Linked DNA regions of Cricetulus griseus. The protein of the gene in region 2 interacts with the protein of the main gene of each other region in a pairwise test. Links are inferred from orthologs where the notes say so. Each region holds a gene or a part of one and is shown on either strand. Other genes may lie near its edges.

Region 1 (4,283 bases), on a different chromosome or scaffold from region 2:
TCTGCAATGGGAGTGGGTATGTCTCTGACTCTTTACCTTCTCTTGGGACTCTTTTCCTCCAATTAGCTTGCCTTGTCCTGCCTCAGTATGAGAGCTTTTGCCTTGTCTTATTGTATCTTGGTTTATTGTGTTTGGTTGTTGTCTCTTGGAGGACTTCTCTTTTCTGAAGAGGAACATAGGGGATATGGGCTAAGGAGGAAAAGATATGGGTAGGGGAGCTGGAAAGAGTAGAGGGAGGAGAAACTATGGTCTCAATGTATTGTATGAGAGAAGAATATATTTTTCAATTAAAAAATCAAATTTAAGTGAATCTAGCTCACATTACCTTAGCCTAATTACAGAGCCCTGGATAATATCTGTTACTGACAAAACTTTGAACTTTCATGAAGATCTGTGTTCTACTTGAATTTTCTTCTCAGAGTTTAAAAAAAAAAAAAGAAGCATCACTTATGTAGTCTTGAGTTTAGTAAAGGGTTTCAGGTTACTTGTTTGAGGTACCCATTTTTTAAAAGGATAAAAGGAGTGGAACAAAATTAGCCCAGGGGAGTTAGTCATGACCAAGGAGAAACCAAGAGTGATCACAACAAAATGTCTCAGGGGTAATTGAAAAGCATTACTTGGGGTGTGGGAGTACATACACCACGATGATGAGGAGGAAAGGGGTTATTAGCTAAGCCATTGTCCAAAACCCACTGAATCACTGGTCCCTTTCAATCATGATTGGTCCCTCTTTTTCTAAAGATGGGTTTTAAATGTTAGGAGACGATTTGAAGAACAGAACTAAGAAAGAAGGGGACACAGATCTTACAAAGGAGCAAGGTAAGATATCAAATCTTTGCTTTGATATTTTAAGAACCAAACTCCAATACAAGACCGTGGTCACCCTGGTGTGTGTGTCCATGTTGTGAAATACTGGGAAATTTTACAAGTAGAAGCAAGGGATAAGACGTTACAGTATGTATCACTACTGCTTTTTACCTTCTCCATTTCCTGGATTAAAAAAACAATGCTGCAACCATTACAGTTAATCCTCATGAATATTATTTGACTTCTAATGGAAATTTTCTCTTTGGCCTGGGACTGTTAGATCTTTGTTGTGATACATTTTTACTGCAGGCATTAATAACAAGGAAACAGTCAGTTAATCCCAGGCAGGGGGCTCCATGGATTGGAGGATGCGTTCCCTTCAGTAAGAGGCTAACAGTGATAATGGCCACAACACCTGCCACTAAATGAGCTTTAAGACCAAGAAAACAATTTTCCCATAAATATCTATATTGAGAGATAGTCACAAAGATAAAGTTTGTTACTTTGAGCCATAAAATGTTAAGTAAATAGAGAGAAACTTACTCAATTTGACAATGCCATCTGATGAATCTTGCCATGCCTTTATTTTTGTCATGAAATTTTAAGCAAAGAGTATCTTCTAAAGCTAAGTATTACAACTCATCGTGTAGGTATATCATCTGAAAAATGAAAATTTTAATTCTTCTTGGACTCATAGGAGCTACATCAGCAGCTCCGGTAAGTGGTTCATGATATTTTGATTTCATCACGTACACCTGTGCATTTCCCCTCCTTCATCATTTTTCTTCATTTTCTTTTTAGCTTGTCTCACAGCGCCTATTGTCTGCTAGCAACAGTCATGAGGTTAGTTTAAGTAATTAAAGCATTCTACTGTGTTCTGTAGGTGAAAACACGTTGTGAAGACATAAAAGCCTGCATCCAGACCACTAGGTATTTCCAGGCTGCTTGGTTGCTTTGTCTTCCAGATGGCTTCTATAGAGTTGTTTTGTCTTCTTTGTGTAAACATAAGTTCTCTAAACGTTGTATCATCTGTATTCTTTGTTCCAGTAGTTCTAATGTAGGTACTAAATATATGAAATTCCAAAAACATGAAATACCAAACCACTGGGTTAAGCTAAAACTGTGCAGTCTCATTGACTTTGATCATCCTCCATGGGAGGCCTCACCTTCCATGACGAGTGGATGGGAGTGGGATGGAGAGATGGTGGAGGAATGGGAGGTCGGGAGGGAGAGGGAACTGGGATTGGTATGTCAAATAAGACTGGTTTTAATTTAAATAAAAATTATTTTAATAAAAGCACTATTTTCCATGAGTAGGAAAGAAATTGAGGAATGCAAATACTTAGGAATTAAAATGTTCAAGCCATTGTTTGTATGCCATCTTCTTACAACAAACATGACTATTCTTTATTGACAGCAATCATGAAATTACAATGCAAACAACAACAGAAAAACTTGAACCTTGTTTTCAAATCTAACCACTAATCACTGTAATTCAATGCTGTCTTACTGGAAAAATGTGTCACTTTGGACTGGAAGTGGATTAACTAGCTCTGATTTGTGCTCTCTCTAGAAAATATTTCAGAGTACATAGTCATCATTTTCCCATTGTCTCTCCTTTTCCAGTTACTCCTGGGTCTAAATAATGGTCGACTTTTGCCACTGCAATTTCAGGTACTACTATGTAAATAATCAGTTCAGAGGGAATGTATCTGTAATGAGCATTTCTTATGGCATGGGATGAGAACAAAGTGCATCCATTTATATTGCTAAGAATTTGCTATGTGCTGACACTAATTCTGAAGACTTTTGAGATAGTTAACTATTTTAAACAAAGTCATATCTAGCTACCCAAGAGGAAAAAGAAAAGAAAAATTAAATACAGTCAAACTTCTGAAGAAATGTGTGCTTTTTTACCAACTCTTCGCATTCCATATTTCTCATGACAGTTGAAAACCTCTCAATTTGTGAGGATCATAAGCAGTTGAAATGTTATCTTTTCATAAGACTTGAAATATATAAATTGCCTACATTGTTGTCTTTATTGCTCAGGTTTGATTTCAAGTTCTTTTTTTAAATATGAAAGAATAATATTTCCTTTCTATCTTTGTTTTTCACAGGGTGCTTTTAACCCCTGGATTCCTCCCTTCCCTGGGTTTCTGCAACAGCAACAGCAGCAGCAGCAGGCTCAGGTCCCAGGACTCCCACAGTTTCCACTCTCAACATTAGAGAGCTTGGCTGGGCTATTCCCAAATCAGATACCTTTCTCAGGACAGGTTGGATTTGCCCAAGGAGGTCAGGCTGGCCAACCAGATCTCTCACAGCCACAGACACCACCACAAAGCCAACAGGTTGCTAACCTTGTAAGTTGGTCTTCTTCCATCTTGCTGCTATAAGACAGAACATGAACGCTATCATTAATTAGCTTTGAAATATGGCAGGGGTCTTACTAAGTCTTATTTCTCCTGTTCTGTTTCAAACAACACTGAAAATATCTTCTTATATTTTCTGATTTTTTAAATATAAAAATAACATTAAAATCAATTACCCTAGAATATAGTCATCATTCAGGAGCTAAAACAACATGTGGATGCATAATTTGCATAAATTATAACTCATGCAGAAGATAAACCTTAGTGGAATATTGCTAATGCAAATGGTACATGGGAAACTAGCTCTAGGAAAATTAGACTAAGAATTTTAACAGGTCAGATATAATTTGCTTATATGGTTTTCTGGTTTTGCTTGTTTGTTTCCTTCAGATGTCCTACATGGTTCCCTTCAAAGTGCCCCAAGATCAAACACAGGTGAGTGAAAAGAATTCCATGACTGACACATAAGTGGCTCATTGCACTCTCCATAGCACTTCATCTTGTTCCCTGGGTCTCCAGCATCAGGGCTTTCACACCTGTGGGCCACCCATCACTGGCTAGAGGTTCCATCACTGGCTTCTAGACATCTGCTAATGCTGGACTTACTTGATTCTTTAAGAACAGGCAGCTGAAAAGGATATCTAGCACCCTTGAGTACCTATGACATCACTATCAGAAGGGAAGGAGTTCAGTAAAGCCAGTACATGTCTTCTCTGTATTTAAGTGCCAACACTGGGGAACAACTAAAGAGTAATACCATGAGTGAACTTTGTACCCTCTCAAATTTGGTTTCAGAGAATCTTATATTTATATCTAATATGTAGATGTAAATAGCACACATTGTAGTAATAATATTTTTATTATAAATTACACTGATATACATTATTCATCTGTTATAAAACTCCCCTGAACACTTCCCCAGCCTCTTGTATGCAGTATTTATGATTTGACTCCACATTATAATTAACTTAAAAATTTCCCTTTAATAGGAAAAATTAAATTGATATTAGCTAATAAATTTGTGATGTTAACATAAAACAGCTTGTTGATACTAGGAAAACTAACTGTTTAATATCTCATAATCAAAGAAACAGGGCTATATAT
Region 2 (4,294 bases):
CAGCCCACATACACCAGAACTTCTGCTATCTACAGCAAATCTAGTAGAAACAAGGTTATGTACCATGTGACCACCACCAGAGAGCAAATGCTGTGATTCTGCTTTGACAGACTATGCCACTTGAACAGACTTTGGGGACTTACTGGGGAATTTTATGTGATAAAGTTTTTCCTCAGTAACAATTCTCCCTGGTTTTGTTGCTTGTTTTGTTTGTTTGTTTACCTCTTTAATATTGAGGGATTTGGGAATCCATTAAAGGGCATATGTGTGAACATCTCAAACCCAATCATTTTTAGCAGGTCTTAGTCACAAGAAGTTCCTAGTCTGCTGTCCAGATACAATCTTACACAACTTGCAGGATGCCCGGTGCATTTTTAGACACAATTCAGAGGTTTTGTCTATAACCAAGGGGAAAGGATTGTATAGGGATGTGAACCCCAGGAAGGGATCATGGGTCTCTTATAAATTGTCTGCCATATTGGGTGTCGAGTCTTATGTCCTGGTCTGCCTTAGCTTCATCAGCTGCAGACCAGTGAGAACTGGATAGACAGCTGCATCCAGGGACAGAGCCCAGATGCAGTCCCATGTGCTATCAAGGCAGAGACTGGTAATGGAGGTAGAAGATGAGGTCTTAGAGATGAAGGGAACACAATAGAACACAGTGTGAGTGAAGAAATGTACTAGGAGTACATTTGGTGCTGGGCAGTACCAAGTCTACTGCAGCACAAGCGAAAGAGATCTGCAGATCTGGGGCCACCACAGGATAAACTTAAAGGAACTACATTGAGTCTATCTGGCCAAAGGTCCTTCTGAAGAGAGCGCTCTGAAGAGGCAAGAGTGGGTGGCCTGGGTTTCCTAGGGACATCTCTTCCATTCATTTGGCAAATTCAAGGCTGGTGGAAGTGTTCCAGCCCACTCTTGCCTCTCCTTCAGCTTGGCTTCTTTTTTTAACATTTAAATATAAATGTTCTTCCTCCCACAGCATTTTGAAGTAATTCAAGGGCTTGAGGGTAACTGGTTTTACTGCCATCTGCTTTCTCCTCAAGCTGCCAAACATCAGTTTTCTCCTTTCTTCAAGCGGATCAGGCACCTTGCAGGTGGTGGTCTCCTAGCTATCTCCAGCCAGGTGACTGGACGTTGTGACGACTTGACGGAGTTGAGATAAACATCCATGTTTCGGGTGCCTGGTCCTGGGTCAACAGACTGGCTCACGCCGAGAAACACTCAGGTTTAGGCATGCGCAGACAGCCTGGCAGCCATTTTAAGGGCTTACCGTACTACAGGAGTGACCACCGCGCAGGCGTACACGGGAGACTTAACCCGCCCTCACCCCAGCCCTTTGCACGCATGCGCGGATTAGCCGGAAGGGGCGGGATTAGCCATTGCGAAGCGGCTGCGCCTTGGGAATGCCGGGGTGGGGCGGGGCGGGGTGACTGTCAGCTGACTGAGGCGCAGATTGCCTCGCGGGACAACGGTCGGCGACGCAGGTTGAGGTGGGGGCGGAAGAACTCTCCCGGCGGGTCTCTGTGCGGTCGGTGAGGCACAGGGTCGCCGTAACATCATGGCGACCACCGTCAGCACGCAGCGCGGGCCGGTGAGTCCACTGGGCGAGGGCCGGACTGGGGCAACGCAGCCTGAGATCGGGCTCCTCTTGTCAGCCCCTCGTGGGGCCCCTCGCGAGTTGCTCGGCCGTCCCGGAGCTGTGCGGGTCCCACCTTCGGGTACCCAAACGGAGTAGCGACTCTGGTCCTGAGGGTCTCGCGGGTGGAAGAAGGCAGAGCTTGATGGTTCTTTGGATGCCCACGGGCCCTGAAACCCCTGAATCCCTAGAGGGGCCCTGAATCCCTTAGTCCTCCACACAGAGGAACGTGACCCCATTGGTTCCCCATACTGAGAGGGACCCCGACTCCCCTTAGTTCCCCGGGTGGAAAAAGGGTCCCGAACCCCTTACTTCCCCAGATGTATACCAACCCCTTGGTCTCTCAGATGGACATGGGCCCTGACGCTTGGTTCCCCAAATGGAGAGTGGTCCTGACCCTGTTAATTTCCCAAACTGATAGTCTTGGCTCCCATGATCTCTCAGAGGAGTGGGGCCTGACACTCCTCTGATGTTTCAGAGATGGTGAAAGATCCCACTTTGTAATCAGCTCTTAGTTGTGTCAGTTTCTTCCTCTCCCTGCTCCTATAGAGAACAGGGTTGCTACCTCTTGAGCCCGGTTAGTGGCTACCTTTCCAAGTCTCAGTTGTTCATCTATAAATGAGGAGAAGGGAGCAGAAAACGTGGAAAACCAACAGTGATGGCTCCTAAGGGTTGTCTTGGGGTCCACAACACTACCTGTCTCTCCTACCTCTAGTGTGGATGTCCTCCCAGTAGTTCTCTGAGACTGATATGAGTTGGATGTTGTTAGCTAACAGTGGTTATGTGTGTAGAACACAGTTCTGATGGCTCCATTGTCTTTTCCCTGAAGTTATTGAAAGTGTCTGCAAAGCCTTTGGTTTCCCAGGTCCCTCACCCTGACAGCTTGGTGTTGACAGGTGTGTGTGTGTGTGTGTGTGTGTGTGTGTGTGTGTGTGTGTGTGTGTAACAGATAAATCATTGGGGTAGATGACTGATTTTCTGACTTTGAAGAAAGCCCCAGGCAGGGTGCTTTTTTGGAGGGCTTTAAAGCCAGACTTCCTGACCAGAGTTGGGGTTACCTTCATGTTCAGCAACCCTTCTTCATCCTCACTGTGTCTCACCAAACTACAGAAGATTGCTAGTGGCTGACAGAAGAGGAAGGGAGCCAGTACTTTGCTCTTTTCCTATCTCCTGCCAAGTGGACACAGGGCCAGGCAGAGTGGACCGTTCCTTACTGTGTGTCTGAGAGTGCCTTTACTTCTGTGGCTGGACTGCATTTGAATTCATCTGATGGTGAGCTTAATGTCCGTCATTAATTGAGTAAGAAGGTGTCCTCCCGTGTTGCTGAGGGAAACTCTGGTGCTGTGTGTATAGAGCTGGGGTAACCCACGCTGTGATGAGTAATTGGGAGTGTCGGGTGACATTCATACTAGCGCAATCTGTGGAGTCAAGTCCTGACGCTTGATCTTTCTACTTGCCCAGTGTTCTAGGGACCACAGAGTCTTATAAATAAACATAGACAGCTGAATGGTTTTTTAGGAGCACTCTTGATGACTTGTAATATTGTGTCTGGACTCTAAGAAATTGTCATCAGTGACAGATATCTTAGACTTTGCTTGGGATGTATTATTGGCCACAGTATTTAGAGCAATTGGACACTGAGTCAAAAGTGTGGAGCACAGGGACACAGCTATGCATGGTGACCCATATAAAGCCAGAAAATAACAGTCACCATCAGGTCTGTGCTCTTAATCATTGAAAACAGAAAGGTATGGACTTGGTGTGGGAGGAGTGAATGGGTTATGGCCAGGGTCTCTTAAAGACTAGAAGATCTTGAACTTGATCTGGTAAGTGCTGTTTCTTAGAGTGCATGCCTTTTACAGTTTTCAGCTTTTCACTGGCTGCTTCACCTAGAATGATCTACCTATATGCCTCTGGATTCATTAATATTTGCAAAGGTTTTTTTAGCCAGTTGTCAGGGTCTAGTAGAACTGTCAAGAGTGTGGTAGTTCTTCCCTACTATTCATGTCATACTCAGGGTTGTGGAGCTGTAAAGATAAACAGAAGTACACATTTGGTCAGTACTGGGTACTATTGGCAGCCTTCTTTTTGTAACCGCAGCAGGGGGTTAGGCTATGGTTCAGAGTCCCCTTCCCAGGAGCCTGGACTAGGCTTGGGCAGTTGTCTCTATAGCTGACCTTCACCTCTGATGAGTGGGGAAGGACTGACAGTGTCTTGGGAGGCTATAGAAGGCTGAGGACACTCTCATCTGGGCTAGGAGGGTTCTCTATTCTTGGTTGAGGGTTTGGGATGGGGCAAGTATGAGGAGGAGAGCCAGAACCCACATAATTGTGAAGGAATAAGTTTTTCCCTGGGACATTTGGTATTTTACGTTTTTTTTTTGTGTTTTGTTTTTTTTGTTTTGTTTTGTTTTGTTTTGTTTAATAGCCACTATAGGGCACTACAATCTTTCATAGCCATCTCACTTTTGAAAATACTGGTATTTTGAAATTACCCCTTTTGCTACCCAGTCTGCACACCTGCTCCTTTCCTACAGTAGTGGTTTTTTTTTTTTTTTTTTTTTTGCGGGGGGTGGGGTGGGGGGGTGGGGGGGTCCGAGACAGGGTTTCTCTGTAGCTTTAGAGCATGTCCTGGAACTCGATCTGTAGACCAAGC

Evidence for each region.
Region 1: the proteins of Tollip (region 2) and Odam interact in a two-hybrid assay, tested with the Homo sapiens proteins (2 studies listed by BioGRID and IntAct). The two-hybrid records come from large-scale screens. The link is inferred for Cricetulus griseus from reciprocal best matches to the Homo sapiens genes TOLLIP and ODAM.

The regions. Positions count from the first base shown.
Region 1 is NW_023276807.1:153,070,239-153,074,521, forward strand, and holds the start of Odam (odontogenic ameloblast-associated protein), read left to right. Parts: upstream 1-1,473; coding exon 1,474-1,524; intron 1,525-1,608; coding exon 1,609-1,650; intron 1,651-2,433; coding exon 2,434-2,481; intron 2,482-2,927; coding exon 2,928-3,170; intron 3,171-3,569; coding exon 3,570-3,614; intron 3,615-4,283. UniProt on the Homo sapiens protein: Tooth-associated epithelia protein that probably plays a role in odontogenesis, the complex process that results in the initiation and generation of the tooth. May be incorporated in the enamel matrix at the end of mineralization process.
Region 2 is NC_048596.1:59,283,349-59,287,642, forward strand, and holds the start of Tollip (toll-interacting protein), read left to right. Parts: upstream 1-1,434; 5' UTR 1,435-1,561; coding exon 1,562-1,594; intron 1,595-4,294. UniProt on the Homo sapiens protein: Component of the signaling pathway of IL-1 and Toll-like receptors. Inhibits cell activation by microbial products. Recruits IRAK1 to the IL-1 receptor complex. Inhibits IRAK1 phosphorylation and kinase activity.